3 linked regions of the Oryzias latipes genome follow. The protein of the gene in region 3 binds, or shares a complex with, the protein of the main gene of each other region. Links are inferred from orthologs where the notes say so. Each region holds a gene or a part of one and is shown on either strand. Other genes may lie near its edges.

Region 1 (6,234 bases), on a different chromosome or scaffold from region 3:
TTAATAATAATTATGACCTTTTAGCCAAAATCCCAAAACCTGTGCCGCTTTCTATGACATTGTTTCTGCAAAGCGGCAGGAGTTTAGGAGAAACTTGCCTCTACATTGTGGGCGGAAATGTTGGTAGAGAGTAAGTCTGTTCCCTTCCCATCATCCACCTATTAACACGCTTTCACACCCCCAACTTAGAATAAAACTTAGAATGGCGAGCAATATTGGAGCTATCCAGCGGTAACAGTTTTGAGCCAGATGCCAGCTGGGATGAGGAGGACAAAGACTTTTTTGTTTGCAAGTTGATGCATCGGAATGGAGTGGAGCAAGGAGCTTGGCACAGAACAACATCAAAAATATAAATGTCACAGTTTCTCCTAGGACTAAACTTGGTCACATTTAACTGGTTCATAACAAAAACAACATAAACTTATTGAATTGTGACGCTAACCCAGTAGATTTTGGCTTGGTTCTCAAATCTGTTAAAAAATTAAAGGTCAGAAAAGTAAAGTTAAGGCCTGTTCACACCGGGACGAATTTCGCCGGCGATTTTCGCCGACGTTTAACGCCTCGTGACTAAACAAAGGGCACCAACGAGAGTGTGCACACCGACGCGAAAAAACGCCAGGCGTTAAAGCGTCAAAAAAAAAAACGCCTCGGGTTCGTTTTTTTTTTTCGACGCGTCGCGTCGAAATCTACTCGACCAATGAGAATGGCGCTTTTGCTCACGTGTCTGGAGCTTCTGAAGTTACAGTAAAACACAACTTGGGGGCGCTCAAACACAAAACTGCCTTGCTGAGCACACATACCAGCGAAGAAGATAGACGCCAAGTAGCGTCTACACACAGCCGCGAAGCAATAATGACGGACATTCTAAAATATCCCCGAACCAAGCACCAGTTGGAGCTACTGGTGCTTGAAATATTCATGTTTTCTTTGTTTGATTCTGACAAGCGTGTAAATACTTGCTCTCTTCTTCTGAGTGAAAAGCGACTTTCAGAAGCGTAAAGTTGCGCAGCGCCACCTTGTGTACAGGAGTATTTCTGTTTTACATTAAGCGCCATCTAATGTCAGGGAATGAAATTGCATGTTCACTCCACTCATCGTCAGCGAAAATCGCCTGGGTGTGAACACAAAAAACGTGGCGAAAAACGCTGGCGAATAACGCCTGGCGAATATTCGTCCCGGTGTGTACGGGCCTTCAGGTTGTGACAGTGGGGTAGAGGTCAGCACTCTTGCATCACAGAGGTCCCTGGTTTGAATTCCAGTGGGTCCCTTCTATGTTGAGTTTGCATGTTCGTCCTGTCCGTGCATAGATATTCTCCAGGCACTCCGGCTTCCTCCTGTAGTCTAAACTATGCTAAGGAACTAAGTTCCTTTGTGACTCCAAATAGCCACTAGGTGTGAATGTGAACGCTGTTCATCTCTGTGTGAATCATCCTGGCTTCACCAGGAAGTAGCTGCGATTACCTCTGGAAACCCCAAAAGTGGACCAAGTGGGTTTAGAAAGTGGATAGATGGAAAAGGAAAGTTAAAAGGTGTAGCAAATTTTATGGTGCACAAATATAAAGTTTTGAGAGCAGGAGAACTCCTCTTTTTAAATGCTTCCCCATAATTGTTTGAACCTCTGCACATAAAATGAAAAATATAGCAAACTGTTAAAAGACTGTTTTGGTCTTTTTTGCCCAATGGAGTCTTTACAATGTTTTTGTGTTTTTGTCTTATTATTAGGATTTTTATCAAGCTGATTTTTCTGCCTAATGTTCCTGCTGCAAGCCTGCAGAGATTGAGTCCTCCTGTCTGCAAGCAGATATATTGCAGACTCAAACCACAGACAGGCTGCCAGTCTTCAGCAGTGCCAAACTGAGCCACAAAACCATACACCCTCCCAGCCACGGGCAATTTAAAATCAACAAATAAGCTAACATGCACAGTGTGAACTTAGAGGGAGGCAGATTTAGCCAGAAAGCAGCTAAATATGTACAGGGAAAAGTTTCTTATTCTTTCAAAACATTTTTTAACCACCTCAACACGTCTTACGATATTCCAATTCACACAAAATTAGATTTCCGTATAATCTTTAGATCATAACTTGCTTATCCTTTCAGTTGTAGCTGTTTTTGTTTTATTTATTTTTGCTCTGTTTCTCCATGTAACACTGAACTCTAAAATTGCATGAAGTGGTATAGTACACCAAAATATATTTTATTTTTGCACAACTGTTGTCACATTTCCAGTGTTGTTATTTATTTATTCGTTAATTTATTTGTAGTTTTAGAATAGAATAGAATAGAATAGAAAATAATAGAATAGAGTTTATCGATCCACAAAGGGGAAATTGCCTTGTTACTGTAGCTCTATTAAAAATAACAGATATGTAATGAACATTGACTGTATACTTTAAAAAATGTTTAACCTTTCATAGCTATTTGTTTATGTATTTATTGGGATTCTTTTTCTACTTTTGTTTTCAGATTTGTTTGTTGCTGAATCAAAATGTTTAAAATCATTTTGACTGCAGGTCTGTCTCCAGTCCAGCAGGTGGCGGCACGTCCTTTTGAAGCCACCGGATAAACAAATTATTTTTTGACGTCATATCCGCGGCGCCAAACCTGCTCCAAAGAAAACAAGTTAGAACGTTGAATCTTCCTTCTATATCCGTATTTCATCTAAAGCGTTTTACTGTGAGAACCGCGACTCCTGCGTTCTTATTGTACTGATAAAACAAACTCTACAGTTCGACCACAGAAGAAGCAGTTAGCCGCTAGCTAGTAGTTGCGTTCAGTAATCGTATCAGGAAAGACCATTCGCTTAGAATTTGTAGAATTCATCGTGTGGGTTTGTAGTTTAGTTTGAAAACTCTCGCCGTGGGTAGTCATGGACCTGGGTCCGTTTGAAGCAGATAACACTGTCAGCTGCCGGCTTTCCTCCCAGATCCCTGACATCTGCAGGACGGAGGACTGCTGTCTGGGGATTGACGAGGCGGGCAGGGGGCCTGTGCTGGGTATGCTAGCTTGTCATTAAAGTTTTAGGAAGGTATGTTTACTTGTGTGCGTTTTATCACAGTGCTCTTGTTTTCATCTAGGACCCATGGTGTATGGAATATGTTTCTGTCCAGTGTCTAAAAAACAGGAGCTGAAGGACTTGAAAGTTGCAGGTACTACTGGTTCTTCTGTTACATTGGCGGTCTAGGTGTGTTCACACCTGTACAACGGTGTTGACCATTATTTCCCCTTGTCCTCAGTCGTCCCCTCCTTTCAGATTAAGAGCCAGGGTTTCATCCTTGGAATTATTTAATCCTTCCAGTTCCACTTGAACAACAACCAGTTTTCATATATTTTCTTAACAAAATCAAATATATTTGCCCATCTCATTCATATTCTGCCCCAGCTCTTATCTTTAGTTGTACCACTTCCTGTACAAACTCCTGCAACATTGTGGTCTTCAAGGCCTTTCGGCAAATCCACTTAGGGAATCAGCTTTAACTGGTTTAACAAATGGTTAGACAGAGTGATTGACACCGGATGCCCTTCCTGACCCCCTGTATTCTATCCGTACTGGGAACTGGAACAAGGGGACCCAGACTTCGTGGTTACATAGTTGGGCAGCAGCACAAACGGTCTTGCCCAGTGACTTACACCGGGTAAAGTACATTGCACACCCTGGGAATCGAACCTAATTGAAGTTTCGTTTTTGGGTTTTGGCTAAAAAGGGCATAATTATAACTAAAAGACCACTGGGAACGCTTTTACAATGGGTCAAAAGATTGGAGTGGGACTTTCATATATTAACATATATCTCTTTTGTTTGTATTTAGTATTTTTCTTTTTGATTGCTTGAAATAAATCGATTCCTCTGCTTCTCCTGTCTGGGACTCTAATCCATCTTGCAGAGTTAGATATGTTTATTCTTCTCTAAGAATTGTGGTACATCACCTGTCCGTCCTGGGGGAGGATCCCTCCTTCATATGGACACCCCTGAGTCGTCTTCTTCTTTTTTCCCCGGAATCTGTTTTTTTCCCCTGGAATTTTTCCTTACAGTGAAGGAGGGTCTAAAGGGAGTGGTGCCCAGTTTAGTTTAGTCTGTTTAGTTAAGCCAATACCTATTGAATTCTATGACTTTATGTTCTTTGTGATTCATGTTTATTACATGAAGTGCCCGTTTGAAGCCCATTGAGATGAATATTGTTGTAATATTGGGCTATATAAGTAAGTAAAATTGACTTGAATCTTGTAACAAAATAAAATGCAGACTCTCTTCTTGACTTTTAACAGTTCTAAGTATAGAACACAATGCTTAGATGAATTTACATGTTCCTCTGCGTTTATTTAATGCCCACATTTAATAATAATAATAATAAATTTTATTTAGAATGCGCTTTACATTTTAGATAAAATCCCAAAGCGCTATTTCACCAGGTTTTCCTTCTTTCTTCTAATCAAGTATGCACAACTTTCTTGACCATTTCGAAAAATGTTTGAACGTTTCCCCCATTTTTTAACTTTGCCCTTATTTCCAGATTCAAAGACGCTGACAGAAGAAGAAAGAGAAAGACTTTTCCACAACCTGGATGAAGCCAAAAGTTATGTTGGCTGGGCTTTGCATGTTCTTTCACCCAACACCATCTCCACTAGTATGTTACAAAGGTAAGGCGTGTCCAGATCTCATGGTCATTGTTCAGTGATTCACAAACCGTAGCTTCATGTTTGCTTTTACTTATAGGACAAAATACAACCTGAATGCGCTCTCACACGATACCGCCATTGGGCTAATACAGTACGCCCTGGACAGTGGAGTGCAGCTTAAAGAGGTACGCCACACTATCGTTTTATGTAAATAAAAGCGATCTTTTAATTAAGATTATGTCTTAATTATGTCTGTATGATTATGTCTGTAAATAGCTTTTTAAACTATAATACCTTGATGTCTGTATTTATGCTACATTTTGTTGTTCTTGCTTTTTTTTTTTTTTTTACTTAATTCTAAGTCTTTTTTTTCCCTCTGCTCTCAGTTGCTATGGTGACAAACAAATTTCCCACGTGTGGTATCAATAAAGTATCTCTGATTCTGATTCTGATGTCGTTTTCAGCCAAAAGAAGAAAAAAAAGACATAGTTTCTGAAGAAGAGTAGTAGTTCATTAACCCTTGTGCTATCTTAGATGACCCCACCCTTACTTTGACGTGTTCTTCCTACCATGACAAAGGTGGATAAAGGTGGAAAGATTTCATGTAATCCATGGACACCAGTGAAGATCACACATAATTAAAGAAAAAATGCTCAGCGCACTGTCTAGTGGGTCTAGATGACTCAACTCCCAATGTTGGAATGCCTAGGATAGCACAAGGGTTACAAAATTGCCTCTGAGTGGTGGGTGGGACGGTTGGCACGGTTCAACCATGGCCCCCTTCCCCTCCCCATTGGTGAGAACGCAAAGCAATTTTCTATTTCACAAAACACTTTTTTTTTATCTGGTCCTAATTCACAACAATTTAGATACAGAAGAACAATCTGGAGCTCAAATTTCTTTATACATGTCCTCGTCAGAAAAAAATGCTACAAGAACATGTAAAGAACACCATTTTCATCGGAGTCTGTGTTTAAAGTAGGGCTATACAACAATAATCTGTATATGTTTTGAAGATATTCATATCAATCTGACATAGTTCACATACTGTAAAATTGTAAACAGGATAAGCTTCAACAAAAATATGCAGATCAATAACCTTGTAAAGGCCCTAAATTGGCTCATTGCAAAAATGAATGTTCTGCCTCTTCTGGAGGGTGTTTCCGTTTCGCCACCGTTACACTTTATTTTTGAAAATTGCAGCAAAAAACTGCATTAGACCGCAAATAGTTACTTAAAAAAGGTTTAAGTTTAAAGAGTTTGAAAAATTCCTGCCTGTGAGTTTATACAGCTGTTAGCTATTAGCTGTCCTATGGGAAATTCCATCATATGTTAGCATCAAGCAAGCAGACTATGGGTTTTCACAAAAGGAAAGGCATAAAAGATCGATTTCTACGTTTAGGGATCAATTATTAATTTATTTATCTCGATTTTATCAACCCAGCCCCACTTTAAAGCACTTACGCTTTGTGTTTTTGTCAGGTTTGGTTTTTTTCTTTTGCGACATTGTCACTTATTTTGTGGTAGATGTGCTTCCAGTCACTCTTCTTCTTCTCCACCCTCACTTGCTCCACCCCTCCTCTGTCTTGTCCGGTCTGCAGATCTACGTGGACACAGT
Region 2 (6,047 bases), on a different chromosome or scaffold from region 3:
TACACACTCATTTAGTCATTTTATAAGTCTAATTTTTTATTTTGTATCATGTAGAGAATATAGTTAAACACTGCAGACACTCTGGTTTCTAATCTAATGAAAACAAGCACAGAAAAGCATTTATTTATCATTTATTACACTGTACTTACATATTTGAATGTCATCTGTCAGAACCTGATTTGATACTTGTACTGTTGTGCGATTGTTTTGTAATATTTTTGGACATGTTTTAAAGTTTAGATTTGTAATACAAAAAACAACCTGTCTTTGTAGATGATTCAATAGTTACTGTCACCAGTTAGAGGAGACTGTTTGTCCTGTCAGTGTGAATGTCTGCCAAAGTTTCACTGATGACATCCCTTCAATGTTGTACTGTTACTTCTACAAGATGAAACTAAAACAAGTAAATGCTTTGTGGTTTTTAAGTGAGTGAGATGGTGGGGGTTTAGATTTTCATCCATCAATTTCTGTACTGGATTAACTGTATGTGATGTTCTATGTGTACCTAACTAACCTGGGCCCTTTGACTTGTTTTATCAGTCTAATGAAGTGTTGGTGTAGAGATTATTCCTCTTTTTTAACGTGCAGTACAATCACTCAATAAAGGGAATGTTGGGGGGTGTAGTGGTTAGCACTCTTCTCCTCACAGTGAGACGGCTTTAGTTCAAAGCCCAGCTGGGATTTTTCTGTGTGGAGTTTTCTCTAAGCACTCCAGCTTCCTCCCACAGTCCAAAAAAATGCCTCATAGCTTTATTGGTGACTCCAAATTGTTCTTTAGGTGTAATTATACTGCAGGTTAGACTCTAGCAACCTCCTGAACCCAACAGGAGCAAAGCGGTTTTGGAAAGTGGATGGATGGAATTTCTTTTTACTAAATTCCAAATAGTTCCTTCATAATGACTCCCCTCATGGTTTACATGTATCCAGGCTGTTTCTTTTTCTTTCAATTTTTGTTCTCAAACTTTTTGACAGAACCACAGTGTCAATAGTTTCCATGTTGTAGGCTTCGTTCTGTGAAATGTGTCAAGTCAAAGCCAATCATTTTTCATCTTATAGGACTTTGTGTTTATGACACAATGTTACAGTAATGCTTTCATGGCTACCAGTGTTATCTTGTGAATAAACGCCGTCCAGTTAAACATGTAAAAGTTAGTTGTGTTACAGAGGATCAAACATTTCACTTTTGCAAGTCTTTACGTTTTTTATTTATGTACAAACAAACACAAACCTCATTCAGGTATCATTTCGTTAACACTGCTCTATGTAACTGATCGCTCTGCCATAGCAGAGCGTTTTATAAGGTTGGTGGTTGAAAAACATGTGGGATAAAAGGTGCATTTCACATGTCAATATGACATTTGTCTGCCGGCCCATTAAAATAGTATTTCCATCACGTCACTCGTCTATTGGCTCGTGTATCTGGAAAAAAGACAAAGAATCAGCAAATGCAAGTGATCCTCCAGTTGGACAGAAAATGAGAAACAAAAAAACATGAGTTAAATTTGATATATTTACTAAAATGATTACATTTTATTTAAAATGTTAATGTTTGCTAAATATATTTGTGTACTCATGATTGAAGTCTAAAGCAGCATGTGTGCCCTAGAAGATATTTACAGAAAAACTCGCTGGGACTGATTTTGAGCATAAAAAAAGAGGAAAACTAAAAAAACATTTCACTAGAATGCATTTTCTTTAGTTTGTTTTTGATCACAGTGATTTATTGTAAGGAGCAGATTGGTATAACTATAGATTTGAGGTCAACTGCGACATGTTCTTACCGCCTCAGCAAGTTCCGGCCAATCCATGGCCATCACCACAGTGTCATCAGAGGTTGGAGGATTGTCCAGATTCCAGTAGGTCAGTTTATCAAACACAGAGGAGACTCTAACTATCCTGTCCTGAGAGATACAAAGTCATTGAAGCATCAGAATCGTTAGACCTATGCTTCATGCCACAGCATGAAAAAACATTTTTCAGCTTGTGACAGTATTCCTTTTTTAGTTCTGAAACATGTCATGGGAGGTGCTTACCTCCTGGTCAGAGCCAGGCTTGTTGGTGTCTTTAAGTACCAGGCCTGTGTATCCTGCTGGACAGCAGATCTCCTGACCTTTCAGCCCGCGTCCTCTGAATGAGACGGCCTTGACTGTTATAAGAAAGTCCATTATATTTACAATGCTAAATGCAGCTATTTACGGTATTTGCTGTTTTAAAATCCCACAATCACTCATTGTAAAAAATACATAAAAATCAGAAAACAATATTGCGCAAGATAGTTTTCTGCAAACCAGTAAAAATTGCTACTGGACATAATTTTGGTGTCATTTCTCTTTGTTTTGCAATCCTGTCGTGGCTTTGCTAGTGCCCCTTACTTCAGGAGTGTTTACAGGTCTTAGAGGTTTTAGATTTCAGACAAAATTCCAAGTACCTCCTTTGTGATCTTTCATGGTTGCAGTAAAGTACTGTGAGACCTGGGCAGGCCCATTGTGTTCAATCTCACAAGGGAGGAGATGGACCGGGACTCGCTCTGCCTGTCCCACAGGAGACACGTGGAGATGAGTGACGCTGGAGTGACAGGACATCTTGCAGCAACGTAACAAGAAAGAAAAAAAGACATATTTATGCATCCACTCAAAATACCTTTATTAGTAACCTTTACCTTCTTTTTCTACAATCATTAACAATTACACGGGCATCTATTTAAAAGCTATAAGCTTTGAAAATATTATCACATTAAAATAAACTTGCCACAGCAAGTCGTAGTTAATGTTATACCGCCTTATTTGTTTACATTTCTGCTACATTTTTTTTTTAATTATTGTTTTTATATTATACCATTTTCTCATATGTTTACTGCTACAGTAACACACAAATTTCCCCGGTGTGGGATAAATTATGTACTTCTGATTCTAAGAGGGTAGTTTAATGTCAGATTTTGCAGGGTTTTTATATCATTTCACTTTATTTCCTTCATTATGACTTATTTTATCTCTAATGAATAGTGTCTGCTTAGTCAAGTACCATTTGCATTTTTAAAACATAAATAATTAAAAATTATTTAATGAATGAAATTAATTTACATAAAGAAATGATCAATCAAGATGCACCTCTTCTTGTACAGTATCTATAACCTCCTAATTAGCTGATAAAATCCTGGTAAATTGCTCTAAAAATTTAATTCATTAAGATTTAGAGTATTATTTGATGTATTTAAAGCCTTTACAACCATTTTGCCTTAATTTAAGACCATAGTTGTTTTACCTTATTTCGACCATTAAGTTCATACTTATTAAGTATATATTTAATTATTACGGGAAAATATGATATACGCACTTAAATTTAGCAGTAAAAAAATGCGCGTGCTCTTAAATTAAATATGTGTGAAGCAGTGTTTTTGGAGAAGTGTGTTTGAACCTTTGTGTCTAAAGCTTTTCACCAATACATTTAATCGAACAGTATTCGACGCTCCTGCAGTTAAACGCTTTTAATAACAGTGACTGTTTGCAGCATTTAATCCGGAGTGGACAAAGAAACGATAAGATTACCAGTACCTTTATGGCGACTGTATTGCATATAAGAGTGTGACATGAAAAGTTGATCTTCCGGGTAGGTTTAGGGAGCCGTTCGTGATTGGACGGTGAATGTCACTTCTTCTACGCTGAATTCTGTTTTGGCGGGTTTTTTCTCCTTTGCGAACAGATGTCTCCCCCTGGTGGTTACTGTTCTGCTCTACTTCAGCTGTTTTGTTTTAATGCTTTGCCTCGTGTTTTCGCCTTCAGACTTGATATTTGAATTCATTCATATCAAACGTTCAATAATTTGCGTGTTTAATATCTTATATAACATAAAACTGTTGTTTAAAACTATTCTGACTTATTTCCAAGGCCTTTAATTTAAGTTTGAAAAATCAATAAAATCTGTTTCATTGTATTCTTTTTGGTGTATTTTCTTACGACTAGTTTAACTGGCATGCAGAACTATAAAAACATACAATTAAATACTCAAATTAATAGAAAAATGTCATTTAGGAGTTTGAAAAATCTAAACATCACAAATATTGTGTTCTATTTTAAAATATTGGAGCCATCCAGTCATACAGTTTTGAGCCAGACGCCAGTTCAGACAAGGAAAACAAAGACGTATGTGTATCAAGTTGTTTACAAATGGATCCATCAGAAAGGAGCAGAGCAGGGAGCCAGTGACCTGCCAAGTGTAGCTTTTACATTCCAACTAGAAGTTTTCCAATGGTAATTTTTGTCTGATCCTGATGCGCAAAAAATTAAATAAGACAACTCAGAAATGTAATTTTGAGCTTAGATTTCTTTATTAATGTATTCTTTAATGAGAGATTTGCTACAAGACCATTTAATTGAAGCAAAGTTTACTCAACTATTAGATGGGGAGAAGGGAAAATCCATGTTTGCTGCTAGAATTTTCCTTTTTTGACTCTTCAGCTGTAAAATGTCCACCTGATCACAAAGACGTTTGAACATAAAACACTTACACGGATGCTCTGGTGGTTCATAAATGAAAAGGAAAGTATACAATGATGAACTTCTCTGAGATGTTTAATAAAAAAAATGTTATTGGTTGATTTGTTGATTAGATTGGATGATTATCAGTACCTGTTTTGTCCTGACAGGGTCATGGGCCCCTGGAGCCTATTCCAGCCACCATGGGATGAAGACAACCAGGTCAGCTTACCAGTCTTTTACACATGCCCTTAAAAAGACCAAAAAAAACAAAAACTCACTGCTCAAATCTACACAGGAACATTTCATATAGACACGTTTTTTTATAAATAAAATTTAAATATCTCTTTTCTGGAAATGTATTTCTGGCAATCACACAACACAGCTTTCTGTCACAGCTACTGGAACCAAAAATGGATAATTGTGGAAGAAAAGGTTCAGATGACCTCATTGAAGCAAGACTTGATGTGAAAAGTCAAATGATCATAAAAAAAGTATTTTGTGAAAATAATCATCCCTATGAATCTCAAAAATTGAACTGGCTCAACAATGTCACATGCCTTCACCATGACCTCCACGGCTCTTTGACTTTGAATTTGTGGAAAAACCTCATTAGAGCAGTGCATTCAAAATACAAAGATTCTGATAGACATGATATGATTCTTTTTTCTTGGAAGAAAAGGGGAAAAAAATAAGAACTAAAAGATTTCTGTGAGCCTGAAAAGAGACATTTGAAATGTTATGTGTCTAAAGGCAAATTGCTTTATTGCCTTCAGTAATGTTTTTTACATTTGTTGTTTACTTGCCAGTAATGTGAAGGAAAGTAGAATATTTGAGTTTTTAAGTAGACTTTTTTTTCACACAGCAAGCACGAATAGTCTTAGCATCATTTCTAACATTTTGCAATTAAGTTTAACAACAATCAGTTTACTAGCTTCATCTGGTAATGACTTTTCCAATGCATTTACCCGCACATTTTAAGTAATGATTTAACCACTTTCATGATTTGCCATGATAAAAACATTTGATAAACTGGAGGGAAAAATCTGAGTTAGTGGGATTTTCTGAAGCAAACACATGTAGCCACCAACAGCAACACTGATAGTGACGCAGTTCCCAAGCTTTCTTCTAACTTTCTTTTTTTATACTTGTACTCCAGTTGGTTCCAGCTACTGTGTTCAGAGGGGATGGACTTAACTTTGTCCAATGGTAGCTGCAAAGACGGCAGCGCTAAGTAAGTTAAAGGGAAGTTCTGTCTGCAATTCCCCAACATCATCCGGGACGAGGATCTTCAGGGAGTGATTTCCTAACCGTTCTTCTTTGGAAAACAGAAAACAAGGGGTGAGTTTTTAACAGCAGAAGACACACCGCTCAACAGAAACGTCAAATATTAAGGGAAAGACTTGCTAGATACAATTCTTTTTATAGTTAACTTTACAAAACGGCAAATTTAATTTTGATTTCTAGTTCGTTAAATGTCAAAATAAAATGAAAATTGGACAAAAGGATTTCACAGAAGTATAGGATCAGTTTTATGCTACATTAAGATGTCTAAAAGCAAGTTATTTTTTTTAT
Region 3 (5,861 bases):
TCTGGGACACAAATCCAGGACACAGAGACTCTGAAACATTTTTTTTTTACTTTTGTTTAACGCCTTTCTCTGCTGTGGCACAAGAACATAAAAGATATGGCCTTAGTTTTTACATTTTTTTGAACAAATTAACATTTTCACACTTGATTTCAGTCATGAACATTAGGATTTTAACAAGGACGGCATGAGGTTTGAAAATGCTGCACAAAGAAAAAAGAAAGGATGCTTCCAGTCAAAGGGCTTTTTGAGCTGAACAATTTAAGGGAAACGTTCAAAACTGTGGCAGCTCTGTAGTTCTGCCCGATTACAGTTAAAAGTTTTCAACCTGAGCGTCTCCTCTGCTTCAAAGTGTCAATGCCAACTGTAAAACACAAAAATGGCTTCCATTTAAGCGCTCAGCCCTTCGCACAAAAGGGTTTTATTCTACTGGCAGAATTCACGGCTTAACTGATCTGAGCGCCTCCGACTCCAGAGCCTCCATTACAACCAATCTTGCTTAATTTAATCAGAGTTCAACTTTAGAGTTTTGTTGCATTAACCTGAAGACCTCTGTGGCATCTGGCAATGCCGTTTGTGTTTAAACTCTTGTTTTTTAAGTGTAAGATGCATTAAAAAATGACTTTGAGCTCTTAACACTAACAGAAAAAAGAACTTTGTACTGAAGTGCACTTATGTCTTACTTTCAATCTATTTTCTCCTGTTTTTCCTCATGATTTCATTAAATGTAATTAAAATGCAAACCAAAGACAGTGTTTTTCCTTTCTACTCCCCCAGTGGAGGCTTTTCATTTTGCAGTACAGCATTCTGCACTTCAGGGCAGAGAAAGGAAGCCTCTTCGGTTAGGTAATGCTAAATCATTTGAGTTGTAGCCCAACTTTGACATAACAGCCAAATGAAATCCTGAGGAAAAACACAATTAAGCAGTCCAACTAAATATCAGATTTAAGGCCAGACTGTGACGAAAATTGTGCTTTTAACATGTTCATGTCCCAGAAAACACTGGTTTTATGAATGTCTGCTAAAAATGGCATCATTAATTAAAATACCACTGGGAACGCTTTTATCTTAAAAGATGATTGGACTGGGACTTTCAATTTAGTTTGAAATAAATGTTGGCGACAGACTGGCGACCAGTCCAGGGTATCCCTTGCCTACGCCCAAGTGGCCGGGATAGGCCCCGGCAACCCCCGTGACCCCGAAAGGGAAAAACGGTCAAGAAGATGAATGAATGAATGAATGAATGTTGGCGATTTACTCAAAAAAAAAAACAACAGTCAAAAATCAACTTTATGGATCCTTTAAGTATCACAAATAAAAAAACACCACAACAGAAATATTTCCTTTCTTTTATTACAAACAGCATGTACAAATTAAAAGGGAAGACAATTCCTTTATTTAGATTTTGGGCTGAAGAAGGATGACATCGACTTCATGCCGCTCTTGTCCACTTTGGCCAGAGTTTTCTGAGCGGCTGTCATCTTTTTGGGAGGCTTTAAAAAGAAAAGGAAAAAATACAAATAAAACAATTGGTAAAATATACGTAGCTTTTTTGAATTAGTCAGAAAAAAAAGTCATGTTTAGTAATAAACTGTAAATATTGTTTTTTTTAGAAAAAGTTTTGACCAAAAGCTTAAAGAAAGCAGTAAGCAGGCACAACTGAATCAGTATTTGTAAGATTTCCTTCATTCAATCAAACTGCTCCGCATTCACTCACTTTCCTTGCAAAGTCTGCACTGTTGAATTTGGTGTAGTCCTCTCCCGCCTCCACCGGTTTGTCTGAAAGTTTCCGTTTCTGCCAAATGAGGAAGTGAGACATGCTTTTCATGATAAAGAGCGCCACAGAGGCTACGTTCACACTGCAGGCTGAAACGACCCAATTCCGCTTTTTTTGCCCCTATGCGACGTGTATCTGATCTTTTCAAATGTGACCTAGGCCACTTGGGTATGTGGTTCTGAATCCGATACGTATCCGATCTTTTCAAATGCCACCACCGTCTAACTGGCCAGGCCACATGAATCCGACCCGTACGTCACTGATACGTTACAAACGTCATCATAAACATCAACCATGGCGGACGATGCTGCTGAGACCAGTCAGTGGAAGGGAAGCGAGGTCACCGATTGGATTCATATTTGGGGTGACAGCTCTATTCAGGCCAAACTCAAGGCTCTTATCGCAACCGGACGGTTTTTGAAAAAAATTTCCAGCGAAATGGCAGAGCGTGGTGTTGAACCTTTCCCGCCATGACTTCTTTTCCCTGTCCAACCGTGGTCAGAAGTGCGGGGGACAGAAAGCGGATCCTCCTTCGGGGTTCACTTCCTCGTTCGGACCTTAAGATTCTCAAGAGCGGGTTAATAAAGAGTCAATGGCATTTCTGCTGGGGGGAGCCTTCTTTTATTACCGTTCTCCTTCCTTCGTATCACACAACATGAATGCGCGCCCCCACTGCCCCCCCCCACTCATTCTCTACCTCGCTGCACACGCTCTTTTCCTCTCTCTTACACACACACACGCGCACACAGACACACACACACGCGGTCCCAGCACATACACATCCCCATTCCACAACAGTGGTTACAGACGATCCTGGCTCAAATGCCTTCTCAAAATGAGAAGATTGTAATTGTGCTGGCTCCTTTGTGAAAATAAATGTAATAATGCAAAAAGAGCTCCGCTGTTGACAACACTGTTGTTGACATCCATTTTTAACATTAGCTACTTCAGCAAACAACGAGTGACGCCATTCACGGTTGTGTACTCTTCTGTGCATGTGGGTCACTTCTGGGTCATTTCACGTTCACACAGGAGATCACAAAAGTTCGCATTTAATTGGAAATGTGAACGGCCTTGCAAAAAAAAAAATCGGATTTTTTCAAAAAAATTGGAATTGAGCATTGAGCCCTGCAGTGTGAACGTAGCCAGAGACAGGACTGCATGAACCTCAAGCTGCAGCCCAAAGCACCACCATTTCAAAGCGCAAGCAGGCAGACGGGGATTGTCCCTATGAGGCCTGCAGCAATGTTAGAGCAGCATGCAGAGCAAAACCAGCAACACTTACTACACACCATCATACCTTAGCTGGAGGCTCCGCCTCCTTTGGACTTGTGAGCTCAGGTAACCTAAAGTGCAACAACAAACATGTTCAGCGTTAAAACACATTTGTTACCGACGGTGATGTTTAAAATGCTTCTTTTACCCCAAATGCTTGAGGAGGGCTTTGCTCAGCGCTTCACTAATGTACTCTGATATCAGGCCATGAGCGTAGCGTAGATAGTCTTCTGTCCAACAAAAAAAGAAACAAATACATTTTCATCCTGAAAAATCCTTCATGCTCTCAACTTTTTTGCTGAGAGCTAAAAAAAAAAAGTTTTTCTTTCATGATTTGAAAGGTTCACACTTCTACTGCCATCTACTGGTGAAAATCCACACAGATTAGAAAGGAGAACTGAAGGGGAGATACCTTCTCGGCCCTCAGACTCTGACTTGATTCTGATATATGTTGTGGATTTAACTCCTTCTCCCACAGAGACATTTTTCGTCTTCAGAGCCGCTGCTGTTCTCTCCACCTTCAACAGAAAAGGATGCTCATTTTCCACTTAGATTTCCAAACACTGAGGGTCCCGTGTCTGACTCTTCACCTTTTTCTTTAACCAGTTCATGGTCCTCTCTTGGCTGTATCGGTGAAACTTTAAGCCCCCCACCTCTTAAATGACAAAAACAACATTTTGTGAGGTGTGTGGCATAAACCTGAGTCGCAGCAACAATACAAACTTCACCTTTCTCTTCTGCAATGTGGAGAAAAGAACACGAGCAGCTGAGAAGCCTGGAGCAAGCAGGGAAGTCTTCATCTTTAACAACTTGATCCACCGGCTGAAACTTGCCCTGAGGAATTATAATAAAGGATTCAATCGTTTGTATCCACCTGCAGCACAGCAGCACACACACACACGAGACGCATCGAGCTGAAAATACATCAAATTCATCCCAATTTCACAAAAGGATTTATTTTTTAACTGAAAATATTCATTTTAAAATCTAAATCACATATCAGCAATTTCTCATTTTATCCTGGAAAATTAACTGATTTTAAGTTTGATGTGCTGCAGATTTCCAAACAGCTCAAATATTTGTTCTCTCAATTTAAGATCAGATTCAACTTTATTGCCACTGTCTGTGTTCTGAATAAAATAAACAAAATAGCATAAAGCAGGACACTTGTATATCTGAGCAATATACAAAGATATTTCTGTAAGTTTTGTGGAATCCAGACAGACGATGTGACGTTGTGACATACTGCAGGTACGTATGGTTGGGTTAAAAAGTATGTTTTATTTAAAACTCTTCCAACACGCTTGTGGCATTTCTATTAGGATGGAGGACATATAGAGACAAAATTAACCCATAAGAACCCAGACCCATTTTTTTCTTAAAAATAAAATGTGTATTTTACCACAAACCAAGCGGACCATAGAATCCATTTCTGATATTTTTCTGTTGCACCGCTGTCACCATGGGCTCTCATGTGCTAAGATTAAAATTGCTTTTATGAGTATATTTTTTAATTTAATTCAATTCAAACAACTTTTTTTATCTCTGAGGTGTAATTAATCAAATCCCTGTATTTCTCCGGGGAGGGGGAGGGGGCGGGGTTGCTCCATACTAACATTCCCACCCACACCTCAAAGGTGAATTTCTACTGAAGTACTGCCGCTCTAAAAAACAACAAAGTTTTTGGATTTTGGCAGAAAAAACCCGGCATAATCATGATTTTAAAAAAAATAGATGAAAAGATGATCGGAGTGGGTCTTCAAACTAAAGGCTGATTTCACACTGGAAGGTCTCAGTTTAGCACAGAAATTACTACATAAATGTCACAGTTGGACTCATCTGAGCAGGAAGCACTTCTTTACTTAACTGTTTTAGAACAGTCTGCTGTAGATGAATTTTGGCCCACATGACAACAGTGACTCTGAACTACAATCAAATGTGGCTTCCTTTTTGCTCGATAGTGATTTAGTGGACTAGAGCTACCATTTTTTCTAATTTCTTGCTTTTTTAACCATTTGTTTGCCCTGTTTGAGTTATTTTAAAGGTCTTTAACATGGATTATATTTGAAATATGCTTCTTTTGAGGATAAAAAAGTGAAATAATTTTGCTTCAAAATTCTTGGATTTTTTTGCGTTTGTCATTTTAACCCTTGTGCTATCCTAGATGACCCCACCCTTACATTGACGTGTTATTTCTACCATGACAAAGGTGGATAAAGATGGAAAGATTTCATGTAATCCATGGACACCAGTGAAGATCACAAATCATTGAAGGAAAAAGGTTCAGAGCACTGTCTAGTGGGTCTAGATGACCCAACTCCCAATGTTAAAGTGCCTAGGACAGCACAAGGGTTAAAGTCTTGTTGGTTTTACATATTCTTATAAGAAATTGTAACAAAAATCCACCAAATTTTTGGTAAATTTGTATTTTTCCAAAATAAAGATCTTCTTTTTTTTAATAAGCAAAGGACAATTAGATCAATGGGATATATTTTTTGTTTTCATTAACAAAAGTCTAAACATCTTAAAAGTATCAGGGTTTTTAAATAATTAATCATAAAAATGTACAAAATATTCAGAATTTTCAAACTGGGTGTTTCGGCAATAGTGTTCCCTCGCTATATCGCGGTTCCTCTTTCGCAGCCTCGCCATTTTTTTCAGTGTCGTTTTGCATGCATTTTTCTCTCTCACTCTCTATGGTGCACTGTGATCTGCATCCTGATTGGCTGTTGACCTCATCAATCAATCTCTGTGGAATCTTGTCTTTTCTTTATAAAAAACTCAGAGTTACTCAAAACCAACAGCATCAAAG

The links. The genes of interacting proteins can lie anywhere in the genome.
Region 1: the proteins of rnaseh2b (region 3) and rnaseh2a are in contact, whole or in part, in a crystal structure (PDB 3PUF), measured with the Homo sapiens proteins. The link is inferred for Oryzias latipes from reciprocal best matches to the Homo sapiens genes RNASEH2B and RNASEH2A. Residues at the interface, in NP_078846.2 of Homo sapiens: His16, Phe18, Lys39, Asn42, Gly48, Ala49, Ile50, Val63, Lys64, Val65, Phe66, Lys67, His70, Phe74, Val79, His86, Phe87, Val183, Tyr211, Gly214, Leu215, Asp218, Tyr219; in NP_006388.2 of Homo sapiens: Val227, Phe228, Ile253, Trp254, Glu255, Ser284, His285, Tyr287, Phe288, Arg291, Gly292, Leu293, Glu294, Ser295, Ala296, Thr297, Ser298, Leu299.
Region 2: the proteins of rnaseh2b (region 3) and rnaseh2c are in contact, whole or in part, in a crystal structure (PDB 3PUF), measured with the Homo sapiens proteins. The link is inferred for Oryzias latipes from reciprocal best matches to the Homo sapiens genes RNASEH2B and RNASEH2C. Residues at the interface, in NP_078846.2 of Homo sapiens: Arg14, Gln15, His16, Val17, Phe18, Leu19, Val20, Ser21, Glu22, Leu24, Leu35, Met36, Phe37, Val38, Lys39, Leu52, Glu62, Lys64, Phe66, Glu68, His70, His71, Ser72, Trp73, Phe74, Ile75, Asn76, Gln77, Ser78, Val79; in NP_115569.2 of Homo sapiens: Ile9, His12, Arg13, Val14, His15, Leu16, Ser18, Ala27, Thr28, Leu29, His30, Leu31, Leu32, Pro33, Cys34, Glu35, Val36, Ala37, Val38, Asp39, Gly40, Pro41, Ala42, Pro43, Val44, Gly45, Phe48, Phe63, Val75, Pro77.

What each region holds. Positions count from the first base shown.
Region 1 is NC_019859.2:10,613,721-10,619,954, reverse strand, and holds the start of rnaseh2a (ribonuclease H2 subunit A), read left to right. Parts: upstream 1-2,569; 5' UTR 2,570-2,868; coding exon 2,869-2,995; intron 2,996-3,076; coding exon 3,077-3,148; intron 3,149-4,510; coding exon 4,511-4,637; intron 4,638-4,713; coding exon 4,714-4,801; intron 4,802-6,217; coding exon 6,218-6,234. UniProt on the Homo sapiens protein: Catalytic subunit of RNase HII, an endonuclease that specifically degrades the RNA of RNA:DNA hybrids. Participates in DNA replication, possibly by mediating the removal of lagging-strand Okazaki fragment RNA primers during DNA replication.
Region 2 is NC_019868.2:12,025,616-12,031,662, reverse strand, and holds rnaseh2c (ribonuclease H2 subunit C), read right to left. Parts: upstream 3,666-6,047; 5' UTR 3,552-3,665; intron 2,583-3,551; coding exon 2,429-2,582; intron 2,147-2,428; coding exon 2,034-2,146; intron 1,902-2,033; coding exon 1,782-1,901; intron 1,420-1,781; coding exon 1,396-1,419; 3' UTR 1,182-1,395; downstream 1-1,181.
Region 3 is NC_019879.2:9,575,842-9,581,702, forward strand, and holds the end of rnaseh2b (ribonuclease H2 subunit B), read right to left. Parts: intron 3,884-5,861; coding exon 3,778-3,883; intron 3,705-3,777; coding exon 3,640-3,704; intron 3,568-3,639; coding exon 3,462-3,567; intron 3,280-3,461; coding exon 3,198-3,279; intron 3,121-3,197; coding exon 3,075-3,120; intron 1,793-3,074; coding exon 1,715-1,792; intron 1,491-1,714; coding exon 1,392-1,490; 3' UTR 1,333-1,391; downstream 1-1,332. UniProt on the Homo sapiens protein: Non catalytic subunit of RNase H2, an endonuclease that specifically degrades the RNA of RNA:DNA hybrids. Participates in DNA replication, possibly by mediating the removal of lagging-strand Okazaki fragment RNA primers during DNA replication.